2 linked regions of the Oryzias latipes genome follow. The protein of the gene in region 2 purifies or fractionates together with the protein of the main gene of each other region. This does not show direct contact. Links are inferred from orthologs where the notes say so. Each region holds a gene or a part of one and is shown on either strand. Other genes may lie near its edges.

The links. The genes of interacting proteins can lie anywhere in the genome.
Region 1: the proteins of polr1e (region 2) and polr2f purify together in Homo sapiens (affinity purification with mass spectrometry; 4 studies listed by BioGRID and IntAct, with this or other methods). This does not show direct contact. The link is inferred for Oryzias latipes from reciprocal best matches to the Homo sapiens genes POLR1E and POLR2F.

What each region holds. Positions count from the first base shown.
Region 1 is NC_019866.2:19,812,638-19,819,938, forward strand, and holds polr2f (DNA-directed RNA polymerases I, II, and III subunit RPABC2), read left to right. Parts: upstream 1-2,287; 5' UTR 2,288-2,422; coding exon 2,423-2,442; intron 2,443-2,583; coding exon 2,584-2,653; intron 2,654-2,763; coding exon 2,764-2,894; intron 2,895-4,260; coding exon 4,261-4,332; intron 4,333-4,418; coding exon 4,419-4,509; 3' UTR 4,510-4,740; downstream 4,741-7,301. Other genes in the region: MICAL-like protein 1, read left to right, coding at 1-17, 99-172, 278-392, 478-524, 611-735. UniProt on the Homo sapiens protein: DNA-dependent RNA polymerase catalyzes the transcription of DNA into RNA using the four ribonucleoside triphosphates as substrates.
Region 2 is NC_019859.2:12,629,868-12,637,451, forward strand, and holds polr1e (DNA-directed RNA polymerase I subunit RPA49), read right to left. Parts: upstream 4,118-7,584; 5' UTR 4,103-4,117; coding exon 4,073-4,102; intron 3,863-4,072; coding exon 3,784-3,862; intron 3,583-3,783; coding exon 3,479-3,582; intron 3,196-3,478; coding exon 3,119-3,195; intron 3,028-3,118; coding exon 2,942-3,027; intron 2,860-2,941; coding exon 2,804-2,859; intron 2,730-2,803; coding exon 2,585-2,729; intron 2,462-2,584; coding exon 2,351-2,461; intron 2,236-2,350; coding exon 2,139-2,235; intron 2,056-2,138; coding exon 1,925-2,055; intron 1,791-1,924; coding exon 1,709-1,790; intron 1,626-1,708; coding exon 1,494-1,625; intron 1,002-1,493; coding exon 836-1,001; 3' UTR 746-835; downstream 1-745. Other genes in the region: zinc finger and BTB domain-containing protein 5-like, read left to right, coding at 5,472-5,681, 5,751-6,581, 6,737-7,584. UniProt on the Homo sapiens protein: Component of RNA polymerase I (Pol I), a DNA-dependent RNA polymerase which synthesizes ribosomal RNA precursors using the four ribonucleoside triphosphates as substrates.

The sequences.
Region 1 (7,301 bases), on a different chromosome or scaffold from region 2:
TCAGAACTGGTCTATTTGTAAGTGAACCAGCAAATTCTTTGAAATTGTGTTTACTAATTATTTTTGTGTAATCATTTCTTTTGTCTTTGTTCTTTGAGGATGAAGCAGCAGAATTTGGAGGACAGGCAGGCAGATGTGGAGTATGAGCTCAGATGTCTCCTCAACAAACCAGGTTAGCGTCTGCTTTTACCCAGACAGAAATAGAGGTGAGAATCCATAAGCGTCTCTACTGGGCTCAGAAAAATGAGAAAGGCTTTGACTTGATGTGTTTTAACAGAGAGTGAATGGAGTCAGGAGGATCGGGGTCGTGAGCAGCAGCTGATGGATGAGCTGGTCTCCATCATAGAGCAGAGAAATCAGATCATAAGCGGCTTGGATCAGGACCAACAGAGGTTGACGCAAATACTGCTTCCTTATACTCAGACACTAAAATGTAGAAGTTACAGAAAATACACCTTTTTCCTTTTTTCTCATTAGGGATAAAGACAAAGATATGCTTTTGGAAGAAAAAATGAAGAACCGAGGTGAGAGTGACACCAATCCCCTCTTGAAAGTGTCTTGCTGAGGATAATTTTGTTTCACTGCTGTTAATGACAAAATCTCTCTTCAGATTTTCCGAAGGAAGGAGAGAAAGGGCTCAAGAAGCCAAAAGGAAAGTTCAAACCTGCACAGGTGTTTAAAATCCTGAACAACAAACCCGAGAGCAGAAAGGACTCTGGGAGGAAAAAGGACTGAAGAGCTGCAGGAACATTCTGGTCAATTTTAGATTTAGTTTCTCATCTGTAGAAGAGAATCTAGATTATCCAAAAATGTAGGGACTGGTATGAGCTCTCGTCTGTTTGGCACATTCTGTTCAAATTGTTTACAAAGTCCAGCAAGAGAAAAACGGAGTACTTTGAAATAGAAACCAATTCCTACTGATGTTATTTTTTTACCACTTTTTTAAAACCCTGTTTTAAGAAAAATATTTTTCCAAACCTGCATCACTAGAAAATGCTTAAAGTTGTTGTCCTACAGATTTCTTCTGAGACAAAATCAGCCATGCAGATTCCTGCACTATCTTTTGCTATATTTACTTTTTAGTTTTTTTTAGTAATTTGGTTAAAGGGGTTCATCAGAAAATGTATAGAAAACTGTGAAAGAGAGCAATTTTACAAGTGACATTTTTTTAAAAGGTTGTGACAAGAATCTCCTGTCAAATGTTCACTTTTATTGTAAATTATTGCAACTTGTTGTTTACTAAATTAACAAAGAATCAATTGCATATTTCATAGTTGGGCTATATTTGAAAAAAAAAAGTTTATGTGTAACCAACAAACAGGATTAATTTTGTTGTTAAAAACGTGAACATTTCTTCCTTTTTGTGTTTAGAAATTCTTACCCATCCACTGCTATATTTATAAAATAGGTAATGAAGAATTGTTTTAAAAGAAATCTCTTTTGTATAGACACATTTTATTAAATAAGTGAAGAATCTAAATGGATCTGTTCTTTGACAAAGTGCCAGCTGTTTGAGCTTAACCCTAGCAAAAAGTTGACGCTTTTATTTTTTTAAGTTTGCTTGAATATAAGTATAAAGCAAGTACGCTGTACTAAAGACCATGTTCATGTAGTGTAGAGATGAAGTATACTAACAGAATATTTCTTGAGACTGGAAATTGGAAATTTTAAGTTTACAATATCTAGATTTTATCTTGACATTATATTTTAAAAAAATAAACGTCAAGTATACTGCCTCACATTTATAAGTATACTTGTAGTACACTTAAATAGACTACTTCTTGCAATGAGTATTCTTACATAAGACAGGAAAGCACTTGCAAAAACATTTTTATGTTGTTTATTGTGAATATCTTTTCATTTGATCACGTAGGAAAATATATTAGATGAAGAGTAAAAAAAACAGAATCCAGCCTTAGCTCTGAATGTTTTTTCGCATTCGGTTGACCCAATTCTGTTCTTTAACTTTGCACTAAGTGACATGCCATTGTTACTCGTTTTCTATAAATGCAGGGCAAAAAATTAAGAATTATTAGTATTCATTTTCTCTCAAGGGTACATTAAAATAAATGTTGAAAACTATCATTTTGGTGTCTTCTTTTTCTCTAAAGGTACAGCCTTGGTTTTCCATAGTTTGATGGATTTATATTTATTTCTAGTTGAAGTTTATTTTGTTTAGGATACTTGACTATAATAGAAAGTAAGCTTTTTATATACTATTTGTTTGCTTGTTTTTAAATTGAATTAGAAAAAGGTAGGACAAAAAAAGAAATTCTAGTTGAGAAGCCGGACATAATTTTTCAGCGTACACGCGCACCGGAAGTTTAGAGACCACAACGCTCAATGTGGTTTAGCCTCTAAATTAAATTTGCTGCTAATAAACTCTATTAGTATCTATATTGGAAAAAATATAAGTTAAAACATGTCTGATAACGAAGACAAGTAAGTTGTGATCTATGTTCATCAAATAATGTCATGGTATATGTTAATTTTAAATCTATTTTAGCGTGTAGCCTGTTAGCTAAGCTAGGTTACGACTTCACCGTTTTCGGTCTTTGATACAGTTTTTGTCAACATTTGCAGCTTTGATGATGGAGACTTTGAGGACGCCGATGAGGACGAAGGATTAGACGATCTGGAAAACGTGGAAGATGTATGTTCGTCTGCACTTTTTTCATTTAGTGGATCATATTTGGGGTTCATTATTCATGATTTCTATCTGGCAGTCTAATCAGATGCTTGTTTTCCTTGGATGATCATCAGGAGGACCAGGAGAACGTACAGATCCTCCCCGCAGGAGAGGGGCAGCAGGCTAACCAGAAAAGGATTACAACACCGCACATGACCAAATATGAGAGAGCGAGAGTGCTGGGAACACGAGCCCTCCAAATAGCGTGAGTTGTTTACTGTAAAATAAGCGCTTTACTCTTCTAAACCAATAAGTTAGGCTTCCAAACATTTGTGGCTTTGTTGTTCTTCTTATTTTATTTTGCTAATTTGTCGTGTGGAGCAGCTGATCAAACAGATGAGAGCTGAAGGCCCCTGGTGTTGGACAGATTGTAATGTTACCATAGGAGTTTTGAAGCTTTGGGCAGAGGAGGTTTATGTCACTACAAACCTTTTTGTATTGAGGCTTAACTTTATTTTATTAATATTTGTGCTTATTGAACTATGCTGCATGTACCCCATCTTTGCCCCAAAACAGCTAGGATAGGCTCCTTCAGACCCTGATCTACAATAGGCCGGTTTTAGAAAAATGATGGACTTGTGTCCATTCCTTTTTGGACCGGAGAAAACGGAGAAGGATAGTGGGATATTAGGGATGGGGGGGACAAGATAGAAAAGGACATATAGAAGTTGGAGAGTCACCAAAGAAACACACCATTGCAAACAAAAAGAGACAAAACGTTGCTAGAGGTTATTTATAACTTTCACAATTAGATGTTTATGTTTATCGCACACACTGAATATTATAAACATTCCTGTTGCCCTCAAAAACCTTCACTCTTGCATATTGTCATGTACACAACACAGATAGAGATCAGATAAATATGCACCTTCATTTGCATAAAAGCAGATACAATCTCATACAAAAGTCCTTTTCTGAGCCAAGGTGAGTGGGCATTGGTGCTTAGTTTTTTTGTCTGTGTTCTACTGTGGACAATGATGGTATGAAGCGTAATGAATAAAAAAAAGGGGGGGAGCACCTGGTCGTCCCACACCAAGCCCCCCAGAATGAGGTGAGGCAGTAGCGGCAGCCAGGACCACCACAGCCAGGAGGGAATCCACCACCCCAGTGACCCGATACCAGCCATCCATACCAGAGGAGGGACTGCCGAAATAGTCCCCAGCACCAAAGAGCAAGGAGTCACAGGAGCATGGAGAATGCACGCCCTGGCCCAGCTAGAGAAAAGCCCCCCAGCTGTGCTATGGGCCCATCACGAGGTCCCAACTGGTTGCTGCAGATCACGTGTTTCAGGGACAAACAAAAAAATCTTTGCATCTCATTTTGTCAAAATGACACTGAATTACATTTCTCAGTTTTGCAGCTTTGAAGGCAGGTTCTGGGTTTGAACCTGGTTGTTGACATCTCTGTGTTTTTGTGTTTGGGCCGTTTAAGGACACACTGGTTTGAAAAGTGTGTGTGTGAATGAACAGTCCATGAATCCTCTGCCCCGCCTGTTTTCTGGCTTTAAAATAATGACATTTTACTTCAATTTGGGATTTATTTTGAGGATTTTGTCGTTGTTCTGCCGACAGCATGTGCGCTCCTGTGATGGTCGAGTTGGAGGGAGAAACAGACCCCTTGCAGATCGCCATGAAGGAACTAAAGTACATCAGATTATTCCATTTCTGTCTAAATTCTTTCATCTTGTTTTGTTCCTGGTAACTCAATGTTTGCCGTTTGTTCTGAACAGGAGCAGAAAGATCCCCATCATCATCCGCAGGTACCTCCCCGACGGCAGCTACGAGGACTGGGGCTGTGATGAGCTCATCATTACCGACTAAACAAACCTGGACTTTCAGCTGAACTTCAGAGCTTCGATGATACCAAACAGAAGCAGCAAATGCAGTCATTTTAAAACCTGCTTTGCAAGCATGAGCCAGTAGGGGGAGACATAACTTTGTTTAAACACATTTTTTTAACAAACTGAACTTTTGTTGTAAGTATTCCAAGTGTTGATTTTGATCAGAGATCATCTGTTTTATTGTTATAAATAAAGTCTTTTTTTATGATAATTTCACGGTTTCTGACTGTTATTATTAAAGTTTTAATGTCAGCATGAGTCATAGTCAGGGAAAAAATGGTCAGTTTTGGTCATTTAAAAAAAGAACCAAATCAGTTGATTAAACTTCAAGAATCATGTGGTGTTTGATTGATGCAGCTTTGATGTCAGCGGGTCTTTATTTTCCTTGAGGCTACAGCCCTTGTGGATTTGGTGAAGCCGTCAGAAAACAGACGGAGGCTCTCTCTGAGTTTATCCACGGAACCATGTGAATGAAGCAGCTCAACAGGTCGGCATTGTTCAAAGGGAGTGTTTGCCCTGGCAGAGAGACGCGCGGCGCTGGAGGAAAAACCAGTGCTCAGGGGAGAAGGGCTTGTTCTTGAGTTTTCTGCCCGAAGAGAATCTATTTTCAGCCCAGCTCTGAGGCCCCGTTTGATGCCAAAAATTGCGACTTAGTTTTCATATGAGCCTCAAGAAAGTGACATTTTTGGTGTCTCAATTTTCACACTAGTACTAATGTACTAGTCTTTAAATTATTTAAACTTTTATTTAAGGTTCAGCAGGAAAAAAAATATTGACAACTGTAAAACATAGCAGTCAGGATTATGCTAGTTATAATTTTTGTCTAATAATGTTTTTCAGTACAAAAGCATAAACTAAATTGAAATTGGCTTATGTAACCCTTGTGCTATCTTAGATGACCCCACCCTTACTTTGACGTGTTATTCCTACCATGACAAAGGTGGATAAAGGTGGAAAGATTTCATGTAATCCATGGACACCAGTGAAGATCACAAATCATTGAAGAAAAAGGGTTCAGAGCACTGTTTAGTAGTGGGTCTAGATGACCCAACTCCCAATGTTAAAGTGCCTAGGATAGCACAAGGGATAAATAGCTTAACTCCTTGAGTTTATTTCCAAAAAAGGAAGAAAAAAACATTTTTTGCTTTCAAGTAGAAGAAATTAAGGTAAATATGGAGTAAAAGTGGTTAGATCCAAGTTTGTATCAAATATACGTTAAGGGGTTAAGTAGCATTCTTATTCTTTCATCCAAAAAAGAATTGAGACACGTTACTTTTAAAAAGCCTTTCATGTCCAACTGCTGTTATGATTATTGCTTTGGTATTGTAAGGAACGTAGTGATGCTACGATTCTCAGTTAAAAACCAAACCCTATGTTAAACCATTGAACTACGTTGTGGAAAAATGTATTGTTGCATCACTGCTGCAAACATTTACACATGTTTGCGTTGAAAGTGTGTTGTGCTAAGTTCAATATATTTAACAGTGTTTATTACATCACACCAAGGTTACTATGAACCAGCTGAAAGGTTTTCTTTTTACTATTTGCTTATTTAATTATAAAGTCGATTTTTTTAGTTTTTTGTTGTTGTTTTGCCATGCACTATTAGCATATTGAACTGAAAACAAAACTGTCACCCAAAAAGTGAGGTTTGAACCGAATTGTGGGGAAAGTGAATCGCTTTGCCTATGAATTTATCGGGTCATTTTCTCTGTTAAATATCTGCATACCTCAGGCCTCAATTTCCTTGAATACAGTTTTTCAGCACCTGAAATCTTCCAAAGATTTTCATTTTTTCAAACCTTGCATGAACGTCAGCGTTATACATTCTTTTTCTGAATAGTCGATATGTGTGAGCCCTAGACTATATTTAAAAAATGTCCTTATCTTTGGGTCTTATGATCAAGTTAACACAATTCAAATGTGCAGTGACACACAAAAAAAAACACAATTCTGTCGTTTATTTTTTAAAAGTATTTTGTGACAAAAAAAATCATCTTTCAATGAATTGTGAATTCAAAGTATTTAATCTGGGACTTGAAGTCCTGTCAAACAAGCCCAAACCATCGCCCCTCCTCTGTCGTGCCTAAATTCTAGTATGGAGCAATACATGGTTTCTGACATCCTAAGTTAACATTTTGTCTTGACTTTGTTTTCCTGTATAGTCATAAAAGGATGACTTTGTTTGTTTTTGCTGCTGAAGATCATTTTAGTTTATCTTTCGTGCATTTCTTACTCTCAAAAGAAGCTTAGTGGACCAGAATTTGGTCTGAACTGTGTTTATTTACCACAGTGGCACGGTGAGAGGGTGCAACAGGAAGAGTAGTGAGAGTTGCACACAGTAAGGGTCGCTTTGTGTGACAGTGAAGCTACAGAGCGGGCAGTTATGGGGTTAGACTCCCTCCCTGCCCTCATTCCCTTCTCCCTCACCTCCCCCATCAATGGTCCTCTTTGTTTTTTCCAAAGTATCACACAGCCGATTAAAGAGAGAGGGAATTAGGAGTCAGGCCTAATCTGCACCAAACACAGAGACACATACATGTATGCATAACGGCAGAAATCTGGAATATGCATCCAGGCTTCCATAGCAAGTCCTGAACCCCCACCCCGAGAAGGCTGGAGGCTCAAGTGAGGTCAAGGGAAACTGAATCTGCACCAGTTTGTCCCCATCATTGCTCCTCTCTCCCAGTTTACTAGAAATTATAATTATAATCTCTAAACTGTATTTTGCATGTTTACCTAGATCTCTGGGGTCATAAATAATAATATATT
Region 2 (7,584 bases):
AATTTAATCACTGCATGGAATGAGTGACGTTTTCTGATTTTTGCAGAAAAACTCTAAAGAAGTCAATCCTTCTTGTTTTTTTTAGTAAATACCACTTCTTAAAAAATGATGGACTATTAGGAATATTAAGAACATTGTATACAAACCTTTTCCATTTTTTGGACATCCATTCCACTATGATTCATCTTCTCTTTTTCAGCATAAACTTTAAAGGATTGTAATCGCACATCTGGGACTCTCTGTTTAGGACGTGCACATTAAGAAACCCTAGCAGGAGTCAGACAGATACAGAGATGCCAGCTAAAGCTACACGACGGAGTAAAGCTGTCCCTTTTTTCTTTTGGGGACTTTTAAAGTCGGTGATTGTAGCTTTGAAAAGAACGTTTCAGAAATTTAAAACGTATATGCAAAAAGCAAATCCAAAATGAAGCTTCTGCCTCTTGCACAGAGCTGCTGTTTCCTGCTGAGTCTGTGGTTCACTTACTGACTTCTGTGACATTACGTTTCAGTGGGAAGTTGTCAAGTCATTCAAGACACTTTTGTGTTGCACAATGACAACCACAGGCTTGCTTGGTAACAACCAGACAAAGAAGGACAAAAATGTTCAGTGTGCAATATGTTCTGTCTACAATTAAAAAAAAAAAAATGTGCCTACATGTAAGGTGGTGGTTCTGTCATCTAGACGTTTACAACTTGGTTGCTTTTTTTCTATCTTCAAATGTACGAGTCAAATAATTTCATGTACAACTCAAATGATTTGATTTATTAAAGTATTTTGTAAACAAATACAGAGAGTTTTGTGTCTTTTTTCTCTCCACACATCCTACTTTGAATTTCAGTGCATTTTCTTGCGCTTCCGTCTCTCGACAAACTTATCGTATTTGATCAGAGGCAGAACAAGTGAGGCGTATCTGTGTTCGTCCTGTAGCTGTGCTTCATCTCCTTTACCGCGGGCTGGCTTGCTTATGGTTAAACCCATCGACTTTGCAATCTCCAGCATCCTGTAGGGAAACAAGAATCATTCTTTAGTGGCAGAACAACAATATTACCTTGTTAAAGACCCACTCCAATAAAATGTTTTTGGTGTTTTTAGCCCTAATCTTCTAAAAAAAAAAAAAAAAAACTGCACTCTAAGGACCGGCTCCTCCAAATCCAAAAAAACAGCGAGTGACATCAAGAAGTGAGGAACAGCCCCTTCCAGGAACAGTCTGTGCTGCCAGCACCGCCCCCAGGCTTACAGACACACCCACTTTCTCAGCGGAGCTAGTGGTAAACAGCAAAGCGCTTTCATTTTATGTACAGAATATGCATATCCATCTTTGCAAATGTTGGGACATGCTGCCAAGTCCGACCCTAGGTTGTCATAAAATGTGCGAAACCCACACAGAGAGAAAGGTGGTGCCTCAGAGAGAGTCGTCTTATGTTCGGGTTGGAAAATCAGTTGGTAAAATAACTAAGATGTTTTAAAGGGAGAGAATTTGGGGTTTTTGTACCTGGCCTCATTGATTTCCAGGTCACGGTGAAGCAGTGAGAGGTTAACAGTCATGTCACCCAAATGCAGCAACAGAGCCAGACTGTGAGCTGCTATTTTGGCCCGCATTGATGTCGACACAATGTTCTGGACCCTAAAAGGAGAACACAAAACACATTTGTCAGCTTTTTTTTTTTTTAAACCTTAACAAAAGAGGGGGTACTGTCGCATACACACCTGCCATTATTGTATGTCTCCACTGTAAATGTTCGGAGAATTTTACTTTGAATGACACGAGGACAACCTTCCTCAGTCCAAACTGCAAACAAAAACGGGTGGAATAGAAAAAGCATCATACATTACAAAACTTTAGGGGCAGGGCATTTTAACGTGTTGATCAGCGATATTTAGAATCTACTACTTCAATAACTGAGATTCCAAAATTCTGCTCACATTTGCGAGTGACAATCTTCTGATGGGCAAGTTTGATGAGGAGAGACAGGTAAAAAGCGCAGCGAGCAGTTTTCTCTCTAGGTTCACTTGCGGATGGCATGTTCTCCAGGTGCTTCATCACACACAGATTCCTTTGGTAAGAAATAGAGAAATATTTCAATTCAATAATAAGTAAATAAGGCTAATAAGACAAAAATGCTCTCTGCTACCATACCCTCTTTGGTCTTTCAACTTCTGCAGCTCCTCTTGGCTTAGTGCCGTCATCTTTTGACCGTTCGGCTCCAAAGCAGCAAATTCTACTGGACTCAGTACTGTTGAAGTCAAATTAAGGATGGAGAAAAGTGCTGCTTTTGCTCGAACTACATATGCATGTAATTTCCAATATCTGTTCAAATTGGGGGTGGGGGGGTAATGTTAAAAAGATACGCTCTTCAAAGGGGTAGACATCTTCTTTTTTGTCTGCATCTGCATTGCAGGGAGGTAGGTGTAACGACAGGGCTCCTTGAGACTCTGTTTCAGCTACTTCCTGTTGCAGAGCTAACAAGAAAAAAAGGGGGAAAAAAACATGTAGTAAAAAAAAAATGATGGCAAGTCCAGTATGAATTTGAGTTATATTTTCTTGTCTAGATTACTCCAAAAGGCTGAAAGCTTCACGCTTACCTTCCAGACCCTTGTTATCAATCACAGTGCTGGCAGCTTCAGCCACTGCATGATGCAGAGCATCACTGCCCACCTGGTTGAGCCTGCGAGAGCTCAGAGCTCGTTTCTGTTTATTCGTGCCAAAGGCCTCAATCAAGGAGTCAACCTTGAGAAAGAAAAAAAAAACATGACTTCACTGTGTGCTTGTTTGTTTCAAAAGAAAGCTTGTTTTTCTCATACCTTTTCCCTGTAGGACAGAGTGGTGTCCTGAGGCTTTGCATCATGTGTTGCCTCTCCTGGTGGAAATTAACTGGCATTACTAAATTGCCCTCCTTTAAAAATCGCTTGTTATTGTTTTGGGGATTGCATTTCTTTTACCTGGTATGACAGGTTGCATGTTGAATAGCTGAGCGCTGTGTATCTCCATCTGCATGGTTTCTTTATTCAAAACTCCAACATAATATCTGAAAATAATTGCATCACAAAACTCATTCGATAAGGATACGAAAGGTCTATATCAAATGTTAATGTATATAAAATGTAATGATAACAAACCTGCAAAGATTATTGCATTTCATTAAATCTTCTCCAAAATTCTGCCCGACATAAGACAACCTGTCTGATTCAGCAACCTAAATGGAACAGACAACTGTTACATATTTAATGAATGCGAATCTGTCATTTTTGTTTAATTATTATGGTATAATGTACGTGTGTGTGGTTGTAAATATATGGATATGCATCTCTTATAACATTTTTTATTTTACAATCAAAAAATGACAAACCATCTTAAGTTTGATAAACATATGAGTGGATTTGTATTTCTTCTTCAGTGTGATGTTATATTGATTGCTTGAAATATATCAATTCCATGCAAACTATGGTGTGTGCGAGCACGCATGCGCAATTTCTCACCACGATCCGCCTTATCTTTTTCCTCGGATTATTTTCTTCTATGTTCTTGAATGTGGCAAAATCCAGTTCCTCTGCATTGCTGGTGAAACCATTCGAAAATCGGACTGCAAAAAATACAGAGAATGGCGTGTTAATGTTGATTATGTGTGAGAATATTGCCTTGTAACTTTCACGTGTTCTGATTACTCCTGAAAAATGGAATAGTTTTATACACTTGAATGCAACACAGATAACTCAAATACTGACTGTATGCTCGCCTGCTTTAGAGATTATTGTTTCAAAAAGGCTGAGATGAGAATAATTACCTATGATCGCTTTGTCAGACTCCCTTTCCTCCTCGCAGCACACCATCCTGCACGAGGCGGCCATGATTGTTGTTGTGATCTGTGAAAGGAGCGAGAGGACTCACTCATCTGTATTTACGTAAAACGTAACGCTCAGTGAATTTGGTCAATGACGAATTTTTGTCTTTTCTTAAAGCTGTCTAAAAACATTTTTTTTCTAAATACACGTAAATATTATTCACAACACCTGTCTTAATAAAGTAGATATTTAAAACCATTTCGCTCAATAGTTTTCATCCTAGACACTTACGAACGACAGCGACACCCTGTGGTGAATCATTCAAACTGCTGCGCTTTACCTCAACGAGGTCATTTCAATCAAGGTGCAGCAGCGCCACCCTGTGAGTCTGGATGGGGAAAAAAAGCCGTCTGAATAAATGTTCGTATAGATTAAGCAAAACGTGCTGCTTGGTAAGCGCCGGAAACACACCAGATCATCGGTATTATGATATTGTTCTGAAGTTGTATCCTGCTCATCGGTCATCCTAAAGCTAACGACCATCGCAACTCCCTTCTTCTCGACAGTTGAACTACTACGCCGTTCAGACTGTATTGGAGAACTACGAGGAAGTGGCTTAGAGGAGATGTTATGAACACCGCAATGGAAGGGTTAGCCATAGGTAGCTGCACTTGAGGGGACATTTTGTGGGGGAAAGGGTGTCGGCGGAGACGATCTTTTGGGGAGACCTAATGCACCCGCTGGTGCTGCTATATAGCTAGAAGGAGTTGGCTAGCCGCGCGGCTGCTAACGAGACTCACTACTAGCCTCTTCACTTTTTTTCCCTGAATATTTTCTCAATTTTTTTCCTTCGGGGACACACTTTTTGGAAGACTTAAAGGTAATTTGTGCTATTTGACATTTTTAAAATCTAGTATATGTTATTTATTGTTTATAACCCACATGATTGTCCAGTTTAAACTTGCAAGCTATTCTTTAAGGTCTGTTTTGCAGTAACCGAATTCTCTATCATCAAGTTGCGATAAAAAAATATAAAGTTTGGGGAATTTAAAACGACTAATTACCCAAAGTTTTTGAATGTAATAAATGTTACAACACGGTTATCGCATAGTAAGATATTGAATTCTATTTTAGGCCACAGAATTCTATAAAATTAAATCAATTATTCTGAAAAAAAAATTAGCTAGCTTACTTAAATTTCCTTCTTTTGTGTGTGTTATATGTTGAGTCTTTGGAAACGCTTTTAACCAAAGTGACTCACTAGTTTATTACAATCCAAGGCAACGTGAGGTTAAGTGTTTCGCCCAAGGACACTTTTGACTGTGTAGTCTTGGATTTAAACCCCCAATCTACTGACCTTCAAATTCTTTCCTTAGTTATGTCTATGTTAAATAGTCAAAAGGAAGTCAAATGTGTGTGTTTTGCACTGATAATGACATATTGAAGTCAGCCCAAAAAGCCAGAATGTTTCTAAGACTTGTTGTCTTGTTGATTAACTTAACTTCACATTCTGAGTAACTTCACATTCTGAGTGGCTAAACACACCTGATGATCCAGGGAGCAGGGAGAGCTGGGAAACAGTCAAGGTGGTAGATCTGTTGGGCAGCCCCCTGTGAAATCATTGATGTCCACGTCCTTCTCACTTTTGTCTCCTTCTCCTCCTCCTTTGGACTGATTTGTCAGCAGAGCCATGGACTTCCCGGGACACTTTGAGCAGATATTCCAGCAGCTGAACTATCAGCGGCTGCACGGTCAGCTGTGCGACTGCATCATAGTGGTGGGCAGCCGACACTTCAAAGCCCACCGCTCTGTTCTTGCAGCCTGCAGCACCCACTTCAGAGCGCTCTTCACCGTCGCCGAGGGAGATGCTAGCATGAATATGATCCAGCTGGACAGCGAGGTTTGGACCTGAAGCGAGCACTGGCTCTGCTGTGAGTTAATATCATGATAACAAACTGCCTGTTTGCAGGTGGTCACGGCTGAGGCATTTGCTGCCCTGGTGGACATGATGTACACGTCGACGCTGATGCTGGGGGAGAGTAACGTCATGGATATCCTCCTCGCCGCCTCACATTTGCACCTCAACAATGTCGTAAAAGCCTGCAAGCACTACCTAACCACACGCACACTGCCTGTGTCGCCCTCCTCTGAGAGGCCGGCCCATCACCACTCTCAACAGGAGCAGCAAAGGCACAGGCAGCAGCAGGCGGACTTGGGAGGGAACCCAGCTTCAGCGGGTAACACAAGCCTCACAGGAAACGCTGCCACGTCGAAGGTGCAGCGCTCCTTCTTGCTGCAGCAGCTGGGGCTCAGCTTGGTGAGCTCCGCTTTAGGAGGAATGGAGGAAGGCGGCGTGAGCAACAGAGCGGTCGACCAGCGGGCCTCATTCCCAGTCCGTCGATTCCACAAACGAAAGCCGTCTCTAGCGCTGACAATTTCAGAGGAGAGACCCAGACAAAGGCAGCGGACCTCAGGGGGCGCCAACCTAGGTTTGTTGGAGGAAGACGGCGAAAATGCAGATCAGGATGAAGCAGCGCTTCATTCGCCGGACTCCCACAAACCGGGGGATGATTCTAAGCTAGGCGCCGGCATCACAGGGTTTGTAGCTGTGGCTCAAGATGACCCTCAGATGCCGAGTCAGTCAGACAGTGGACGCTCTGAAGGGGAGAACTCGGTGAGGATTCCAGGAGGAGTAAACAAGGAAGAGGACATGGGTGACCAGGATCAGCAGGCCAGCAGAGCCACTGTAAAAATAAAGTCAGGGAACGAGGAAGAGCAGGGGGAAGATGAAGAGCGGAAGGTAAAAAGGATGCACATAAAGTTTTTTTCTTATTAGTTTCCAGTTTTTCCTTTTTGGGGGGGATTTTAATGTTTCTACATAATATTCGTTTTTTTCCTTCGGTAAACAGCTCAACTTTCATCACAGTGGAAACATTTTTTAATTTTTTTTGTCAGGTGGTGGTCAAGCGAGAGGTTCTCAGCTCACCTGAGCCTGTAGACGAAAACAGCGATGTGACGTCCCAGGCTGAAGGCAGCGACCCGGCAGAGCCCGGCTGCCAGGAGGAAGAGGAGAAGGTGGAGCTGAGCCCAGAGGGCAGCGACCGCAGCTTCACCTCCGACCCCCAGCCCAGCTCCGAGTCTCTGCTCCATTCCAGTTCCCAGCTCCTCCTCAAGGGCAGCATGGGAGGAGGAATGGGTGTCACGGGGGGGTTTGGCAGTAACAATGGGCTGAGTAGCAGTTCTAATTTTAATATCTCGAACTTTCTCAGCTCTAAAGACTTCGGGAGAGGTGGGTCAGGGTTGGTTTCTGGAGAGGATGACCTTCCTAACACAACCACCGGGGAGGCAGTTGCTCATCGCTTCCTGATGAGACACGACGCTGCTGGGCCGTCTTCCTCCGCGTCGTCCTCTCTTATTCAGTCGGGCACGCTAAGTGGCGAGAGCAGAAACGGCTTTGGAGACAACCTGCAGCCAGATTCTCTATTCCTGCAGCCTCCTTATGAGAACTTAGGAGGCCTCAGAGGGAGCAGTGGGAGTGCTGGACGTGGAGGAGTGGATCCTTTTGCTCTGGACTTCCAGCGCTCCAGTTTAGGACTTCACTCCCTGGGGCGACCCTCAAGAGGGATGGGAAGTGCTTCCGCTTCCACCCTGAGTTATCCAAGCTACAGACGTATTGCTCCTAAAATGAACTCTGGCATAGGAGGTGAAGGAAGAGTCCAAGACCCGGCGTCACCTTCCTCCAACCTAACAAGTCCTCTGCTTCTGAACGAGAGTGGGGGTTATGAGATGAACGGCGGCCGGCC